2 linked regions of the Coturnix japonica genome follow. The protein of the gene in region 1 binds, or shares a complex with, the protein of each later gene. Links are inferred from orthologs where the notes say so. Each region holds a gene or a part of one and is shown in the gene's direction. Other genes may lie near its edges.

The links. Proteins that work in one complex are often made in the same cells at the same time.
Region 2: the proteins of DISP1 (region 1) and SHH are in contact, whole or in part, in a cryo-EM structure (PDB 7E2I), measured with the Homo sapiens proteins. The link is inferred for Coturnix japonica from reciprocal best matches to the Homo sapiens genes DISP1 and SHH. Residues at the interface, in NP_001356523.1 of Homo sapiens: Lys242, Thr244, Gly245, Tyr246, Lys247, Ala248, Glu260, His265, Arg299, Phe336, Gly337, Asp338, Leu339, Cys340, Gln341, Arg342, Thr343, Glu459, Arg899, His904, Asp906; in NP_000184.1 of Homo sapiens: Pro49, Asn50, Val51, Thr55, Leu56, Gly57, Ala58, Arg68, Glu71, Phe73, Lys74, Leu76, Thr77, Pro78, Tyr80, Pro82, Arg96, Leu97, Gln100, Lys186.

The regions. Positions count from the first base shown.
Region 1 is NC_029518.1:15,615,008-15,619,055, reverse strand, and holds the start of DISP1 (protein dispatched homolog 1), read left to right. Parts: upstream 1-1,248; 5' UTR 1,249-1,394; intron 1,395-4,048. UniProt on the Homo sapiens protein: Functions in hedgehog (Hh) signaling. Regulates the release and extracellular accumulation of cholesterol-modified hedgehog proteins and is hence required for effective production of the Hh signal. Synergizes with SCUBE2 to cause an increase in SHH secretion.
Region 2 is NC_029517.1:7,183,751-7,187,946, reverse strand, and holds the start of SHH (sonic hedgehog protein), read left to right. Parts: upstream 1-1,396; 5' UTR 1,397-1,839; coding exon 1,840-2,148; intron 2,149-2,670; exon of another isoform or gene 2,671-4,106; intron 4,107-4,196.

The DNA.
Region 1 (4,048 bases):
TTGACTTACTGTAAGTATCTGCAGCCATGTTTGTCTGTTGTTCTGAGAATGAATTGAAAATTCTTCTTCCTTATCGCTCCCAAAATACAATGGATTATATGTGTATGTGCACATGAGGGGAAAGGGAGGGATAATCTGCTGACAGAGGAATTTCTAAACTACATCTTAAGCTTTTCCTGTGCAAAAAGCACCATCAGGCAAGACTAGGCAAAAGTTCATGCTAACACAAACAAGATGCTGAACTTGGATGCAGAATGTTGCATGTGACAGCAGCCTTTTCAACACATGCAGGCAAACAGTGAATCAGCAGTGCCTAGATAACAAATGACAGCAATATCTTGGGACTCTAAAACTGCGTGTCGTGCTGTAAGATTTATGACTTATGAAGTCTCTGTGCTTTAAGGCCAGTTCCAGGATGCAAGAAAAACAACCAACACCCTACCCAAACCAAATGCAGAAAAGCAGTCCCTCTCCTCAAGGTTTGTAGTGTTGTAAAGGTCAACACGTGCCATGTAAACCCTTATTGGAACAGCAAAATTCCATATCGGGAGCTTGAGGCAGTCCATATTCAGAGAGCTTGTTTCAGATACTAAACGTTGTATGTATTTGCCTGCATCCCTGTGCTACCTCAGTCTCTTAATGTGCTGCCTTTGTTCTGTTTATTACTTATTTTAAGTAAAACAACTGTAGCTGGTAGAAAAACTGTTTTCTGTTTGCTCCATTTTGTATTGCTTGTGTTGCAGGAAAGAAGAAAAGTTAAATCAAATATTGCAAAATATTTTTCCAGGCTATGATCTGCAACTTTTGTTGCACTGTTGGCACAAAAAAAAATCCTTCCACAGCTATGGTAAATTAGTAACAGAGAAAGGTACTTTGTTACCTGTGGCCGGCTCCTTTTCTTTCTCCCTTCTAAAGGAGGGGAAGAGGTCATTGTTCCTCTCTGGCAGGTCTTGGCCAGATCCTTGTATTCCAACCTGATAATGATGTTCAGTCTCTGCTGTTCTACAACTTTACTCTGCTTCTTAAGTCACTTCAGCCTTTTAAGTCTTTTCGTGCTTTTCTGGAAACCTTTTGCTTTAATATGTAACTCTTTCAGCATGCTACATCCACACAAGTCTTAAATGTCTCCAGGGATAGTGACTCCTCTGCGCAGCCTGTGCCAGTGCATCACCACTCTGAGAGTAATTTTTTCTTAATATCCCACCGTGTCCCTGTTACTGAGGTTGTGGGTTTTATTTCTTCTCTCTCACCTTAAAGGCTGAGCCAAGCTGCCAAGAGTTCCAGTAACAGTGGTGGAGCTGGCCAACGGGCATCTTCTGCTGCCAACAAGCTGGAGATCCTGGAGGAGAAAGAGATCTTCCTCTTCTGGAAGGAGGAAAGTGGAGCAGTTCAAGGTGAGAACATCGCTGGTGCTCCTGTCTGGGGGTCCTGCTTTGTCATGTATGTATTACTTATTACTTGTCTGATGTGAATGTCTACTCAGCTTTGCTTTATTCTTCTCACGTTATTGAGAGGCTGTCCCGTAGCTGGTGATTTTTTGGCATTTAGCTCTGTTGACCTCCCATCCCAAGCTGATGATGTCTGAGTTTCTGGCTGCCAAGTCATGTTTTGATGCTGAAAGGTGGTAGTTGATTTACTTTCTGTTCTATGTAAGTAGGAATGTACTGAAACTGATGGAACCAAGCGTTTGTATAGGACCGGGTGCTTGAGCTCAAATTATAGCGTTGGTTGGACTGAAAACCTCAATGAGCTTCTACGCAGTGTAGGGAAGACATACCTGTAATAAACCCTGTAGTTTGTGCTTGACAGGAACGTTTGAATGTCACCATTCAGTTCTCTTGATGTTTAGGATTTCTAAGTCTGTGTCAAAACAACAGTGCTCAATTAAACTATGCACTTTTTATTTGGGTTGCCTGAGATCAATGGCTTTAAAACATATTTTTAAAGTGAAACTTTCCATGACACTCTAAAATTGAACAGTGTATTATATCATAAATAATTGTGAAAATTTGCATTTTCCTATCAGTATTATTGATAGTGTTTTGATACTTCTGTGATGAATGATTTGTTATGAAACGCTTTAGAACCACATAGGAAAGAGTTAATAAAGGTTAATCTGCTTCATTTTTCTTGTAAGCTTTTCAATTGGAAAGATGAAATAGGTAAATATCCAGATTGTTTCAGCACTGTCTAGTAGCGGGCAGAAGGATTTCCACTTCGGTGCTGCACTTCATTAAAGAGTTATAAACAGGAATGCTGCAGAAGTGTACTGTGGGCACGTGAGGAGATTTCTAATAACCTCAAGGCTGGCTTCCAAATGATCTTATTAATTCTGTGAGTAATCTGGGGAAAATCAGTAGGGTTTCTCTGACTTTTGCCCTTGAGGCTGCAGTTTTTACAGCTTGGAGCAACTATTACTAACAATAGCTCTTGAAGTGTAGTTTTAAAAACCCTAGGAAATGTGTTCCTGTTTTTCTTTCTGTTGCAGTTACAACTGGACAACTCCACTTCTTTAGCCCCTAACTCAGTGTGCCCCTGTTCCTGGAAACATATTTAGAATGCTGTAATGAAGTTTTTCACTTGCCTGAAGTACATCAGATGTTGTGCATGAGCATGGTTTCCAGTGGAGACTTAAATGTGCAGGCAGCTGCTGCCTGTGAGTCACACTCTTCCCTAGGTAAGGAAGGGAAGGACATTGCTCAGCCCCTGGGAACTTGGTGATTCCAGTTCTTGAGTGTTGGGAAAGTTTCTGTTCTATTCACTGACTGCTCTGAAGGAAGGTCTGGTTTCTAGATGCTGCTTCTCACAATGTATACAGAACTGTTAACTATATCTAAACACGTCTCACTGCAAGGCTGATCATTACTATGCAAATTAACCTTGGTTGCTCTGAGAACTGTTTCTCAGTCAAGGCAAGGGGTATTTTGTACCTTACCATGCAGCATTACAAGCATATTTCTTTGTTATGTATCCACATAACTGATGCGCTTGCAGTTTTCTAATGTTGCCTTATCTGTCTGCTTTAAAAGTCAGATTTTGCTAAAATATGCCCTTTCAAACAAGTTAAATGGAAGAACACATAATGTGATTCAACAAAGTTGTAAAGAAATTATTTGATACTATTTAATCCGAGGTGACTATTTCATTTCTAGCTTAGCATTACAATTCTATGATCTTCTGTTAAGAAGCAGGTTTTATTGAATCCAGGTAGTTGCAATAAGAAAACCTGCTTTCTTTAGCTTGTTCATGAACTAGATACACTGAGAGCTCATTTTTGATTTTTCTGCTAATTTCCATCCATGCGTCTGTCATTGTCCTTCTGATACTGCAAGACATGTTATGTCTATTTCTGATTTCAAGTGAAAACAAAGTCAACAGTACATTTGATACTTATAGCCCAGCCCTGAGCTGTAGGAAACACCACTTTTGTACTTAAGGCATTAGATATCAATGCGTTTTGCTTTGTTCTTTCTGCTTTTCATCTCCAACAATTAAAGGAATATGAAGTCAAGCTGCTTTAGAAAAGTTTCTTGGATACTGCTAGGAAGCATGTTAATGTCTGTGAGTATGCCCAAATGGGACAGTTATTGACATATGCAACCAGTAAGCAAAGGTGTGTTGTGAACTGGGTTTCCAATAGCTGCAGGGTTGAGGTAATTCACAGAGATGTGGAATCTGGAGTGTTTCATGAATATCATTGTGAATTCTGGTACTTGGGCCATCACAGGTGAGTTGGGAAATGGGCCCTTTATCCTTTCAGACAGTTTGAAGTGCAGGCTTCTGAACTGTTCACCTATGTGCACAGATACGCACAACTGTTCTTTTGTCTCTTTTAAGGCAACTTTGTAGATATGAAAAGCATTTCAGAAAAGTCTACATATAATATAGTGGCACATACTGCTATTTCTGAAGTTCTGTGTTTTTGAGGCTTACTGGTTTTCGGTATTTTCTCTGAGTGGTAGGAGCTTTGGTGATGAATGGCTAGCATTTTATTCAGTGATCTTCTGACAGTTGAAAGTAGCTGCCTAGTTTGATTTGATGTTGGTAA
Region 2 (4,196 bases), on another chromosome or scaffold:
CAAGTTGGGGAAGAGAAAGCAGAGCTTCACTGGAAGGTTACGGAGAAACATAAGTAACAGGAGAGGAGAGTGGGTGCACGGGAGGGAAAAGTCGATCCGAGAGTTTCCAATCACTTCTTTCAGCTCTTTCTCTAAAGTTTACCTAGGAAAGATCACTTTGTCCCTTGCAAGTTGGGGTGGTCCTCCATGCTGCTGTTCATGGCGTACAACTTTTACTTGACTCTTTTTCAACCACTTAAAAACTAATTTTCAAGTCCATCTTCACGTGCTTTAAGCGGATTACGACTCAGACGGGAAAACTCCCGCATCATCTCTCTCTCCAAAAGAGCTGCGTTTTATTTTTCCTTAAATAAAGCTGATTTCTATGTATTATTTTTTACTAAGGACTTCGGCTCACTACAGCTTGTCATCTCGGGACTTTTGAGAACTCCCAAAAAGCTTCTTCGAGTTTCGGGACGCTGGGACAAATCGCGTACACGCCGGAGCAAAAGCAGAGGAGCCCTTTGCAGCCGTATTTGTCCATACGGGACCCTGCCTTTCCGCCCGACCTGCTCTATCAGCCCCATCGCTGCAGTTCTGCTCGTCTCTCAACACCTTTGTCTGATCAGTCGCTTTTGGAGACCGGGGATAAAGACATCACTTGCCACGCTGCACGAGATAACAATTAATTTCACATTAAACTTATCCCCCCGCCATTCACTTTGCCTGGATCGATCGCTGCTAATTGTGTTTGCGGATGCTTTCAGCGCGTCGCTCTCCTTCAAAACTTAATGACACCCCGCGAGGAGGTGTGAGAGCCGAGAGAGCCGCTCGGAGCGCAGAACAAAGCGCAGCGCTGTGCCATCACTGACTGCGGCCACTTTCCCGAGGCGCTGCGTTATTTTCAATGGGGACCGCTCTGATTTTTATTGTTTATTTATTTATGCGTTAATAAACGCTGCTGAGGTGTCCGCATGATGCAGACGGGCACCCGGCTGCCTCCTCCTATCGGTTTTTCCTCCCTCCAAAGCAGTCATTTATCAGTTAAAACGTGACTGTGGTTCAACGCGCGGCTGTACGAGGGGAGCGGTGTCCCTTTCCTAGGGAAGAAACCTGTTACAAAAGCCCCCGAGGTGGGCTCAACCTCACAGCTCACTTTCCCCCCGAGCTCTACCATTACCCCACTAGGTTTCTATTCGCGGGGCTCCCCGATATATTCGGTATTTTAAGAGTTGCCCCCAGAGCCCCGCCTCGCACCCCTCGAACCTGATGTATTTTGCATTTATTGTTATTACTATTTCGCAGAGGCGTCCCTTCCCCGTGCTGTCGAATGTACCATTCTGCCAAGAAAGTTTTTATTATTCCTTAAAAAGGAGAGAAAGGAAAAAAAAAAAAAAAACACCCAACAAGCAGCGTGTAATTGATGTTATCCCAAGAAAGCTGAATCCCCGCCCCTTTCAGCTCCGAGCCCTTCAGGTAAAAGGAGAAGAAAAAAAAATCTTTCAAGAATTTGTTGCCTTTTTGAGGGTTAAAACATCAGAAGACAAGCTTGTCTCGCCTTGGCCAATCAGCTCTCGGCCCTGGCAGCTATAATATAGAACTAAAGGCAGACTCCTCTCACAAGCGTCTTGCTTTGCTACCATTAAAATCAGACCCTTTTTTGTCTCTCGATTGCTGTCTCCCGACCAAACTCCGATGTGTTCCGTTATCAGCGACCTAAAGGCTGCCATTCCAGCACCTGTCTTGCTAGGGATCGGTGGATAGTATACGATCAGAAAGCAGACAAGGACATAGGAGGAGAGAGAGCTCTAGAGAGACAGCCAGGGATAGGCACAGAGAGCTGTGAAGTAATTGGATTCAATGGACGAAATGCTGCTGTTGACAAGAATTCTCTTGGTGGGCTTCATCTGCGCTCTTTTAGTCTCCTCTGGGCTGACTTGTGGACCAGGCAGGGGCATTGGAAAAAGGAGGCACCCCAAAAAGCTGACCCCGTTAGCCTATAAGCAGTTTATTCCCAATGTGGCAGAGAAGACCCTAGGGGCCAGTGGAAGATATGAAGGGAAGATCACAAGAAACTCCGAGAGATTTAAAGAACTAACCCCAAATTACAACCCTGACATTATTTTTAAGGATGAAGAGAACACGGGAGCTGACAGACTGATGACTCAGGTAGAGCCACAGAGATACCTGTATTTGTGTTTGTTAACCTCTCTGAGAACCCCTAAAGGACGCATCTGTCTTAGCATTTTTGGGAGCCCCCCCCTTTCCCTCCCCCTTTCCCCCCGCCCTCCAAACTCGGCTACTTTCCCCGTAATGTCAATGCCATCTCTCAGACAAGTTAGCGGGGCCGGAGCCGCCGGTGGGGGTTCGGTGCGATACCAGCCGGCATCGCCATGGCGTTCCCTTGGAACTTGGGCAGGGACCGCCGCTCGCGTTCGTCCCCACGGATGCACTTTGCTCAAACAAACTGCATCCAGATCCGAGGACCGCGGGCGCTCAGTGACCGCTGGGCCGCTCTCTCCCGTCGCCGGCGGAGCCTCCGCGCTCGTGTTTATCGCTCGGGTTTATCGCTCGTTTCTTTTTCTTTTTCTTTTTTTTTTTCCCCTCTGTTTCATTTCATTTTACCCTTTTATTTATTTTTTCCCTCGCGAGCGTATTCTATATTTAGTAGGCATGCAGTCGTGCACTCACAAAAGGCAGCTGAAGCCGGATCGACCATGGCTCTCCTGATTCCGTATGATAGAGCTCGTATTGCAATACCATCATTTGCGATTGTGCCCATCAGAGCGTAAATATATTGATATTTCTTTAAGGATGCTCGCCGCCAGCTCTCTGGTACTTCCATAGGGGAGGGACTTGCAACTTATCGGCATTGCATCACCTTCGGGTTTAAAAAAATCTGATGGCACAAGGTTTACAACCGGGTAAATATTGGATCTCGGGCGGAATCGGATTGCGGAACCATTTTATGCAAAAAGAGAGAGAGAGAAAGAAAGAGAGAGAGAGATAGAGAACCTCTCCGAGAGTCACCTCGTAATTATTATTCATGCTCACCAGAGAGCTCGGTGAAGTCAATTGCTCTGCCAATCCCGGAGTTTCTCAAACTACATGCAATCTAGGCACTGGAAATGGGTTTCCTCCAAATATAGGTCAACGGCGCTTTTTTAATATTAATACATTTAAGCCCCACCTTCAGCGCTAGAACAGGACTCGCGGGGAAGGACGAGGCGGGGAGTGGACGCGGATGGGGTGCGGGGAAGGAGGGAGGGGGGGGGGGAGGGTGGGGGGGAATTTCCCAAACTCTCCCAGCTTCTCGGCCTGATTTTCCGCACGTTTGCCGGTTCTCCCGGGGCTCGGGGCCACCATCTCTTCCCGACCACCTTAAATCCGCCGCGTACCTCGGGAGCGCGGCGGCGCGTCTGTGCCGGGGCGGAGCGCGGAGCTCCGTGTGCGCTGCGCGGAGCTCGGAACGCGGAGCTGCAACCCCCGCGCCCCGCTGAGCGCTCCTCCGCCCTTTCTGCCACCGCATCTCGCATTTTCAGCTCCACTTAACTCCTCTCGCCCATCGATCGCGCCGGCTCGGGTTTCACCCTTCCCTCCTCGAGCGGAGAGGAGGAGGAGGAGGAGGCGGCTCCGCGGGAGATGGGCTCCCGGCGGGGCACGGCGCGGCGGAGCGGGTGCGGAGGAGCGGTGCGGACCGGGGGCGGTGCGAGGATGCCCTCCCGGGGCACGGCTCCCGCCGCATTAGACGGCAGCGGGTGAACTCCTGACCTTCTGTCAACTTCCCTCAGACGAACGGAACGAAAACAAATAGTTTTTTTTCTTTCTTTCTTTCTTTCTTTCGGGTTGCTTTAGACACAAAGAGGGAAGAGGGCCGGGTTGGGGCAGAGGGGACGAAGGAGAGGGGTCGGACTCGGGGTTGCCGTCCTGCAGCCCCTCGCCCTTCGCCTCGAACCCTTCAAGCATGGAGAGATCTTCCCCCGGAGAGAATTGTTAGGCTCGGGGAATAGCCGCCGAATGCATTAGTCGCGGGTTAATATTAACTTCGGGTTGGAGGGGGCGGGGGGGGGTGGGTGGAAAAAAAGGCAAACAGAGCTCGGTAAGTCGGGTTCTCAACTTTGCAGGTGACAACAGCAGTTTGCTGAGGGCTGCCCCCTCCCTCCCCCACCCCCCCACCCCGGCCATTGGCTGGATCCGGCCGAGAGATAAGGAGGCCA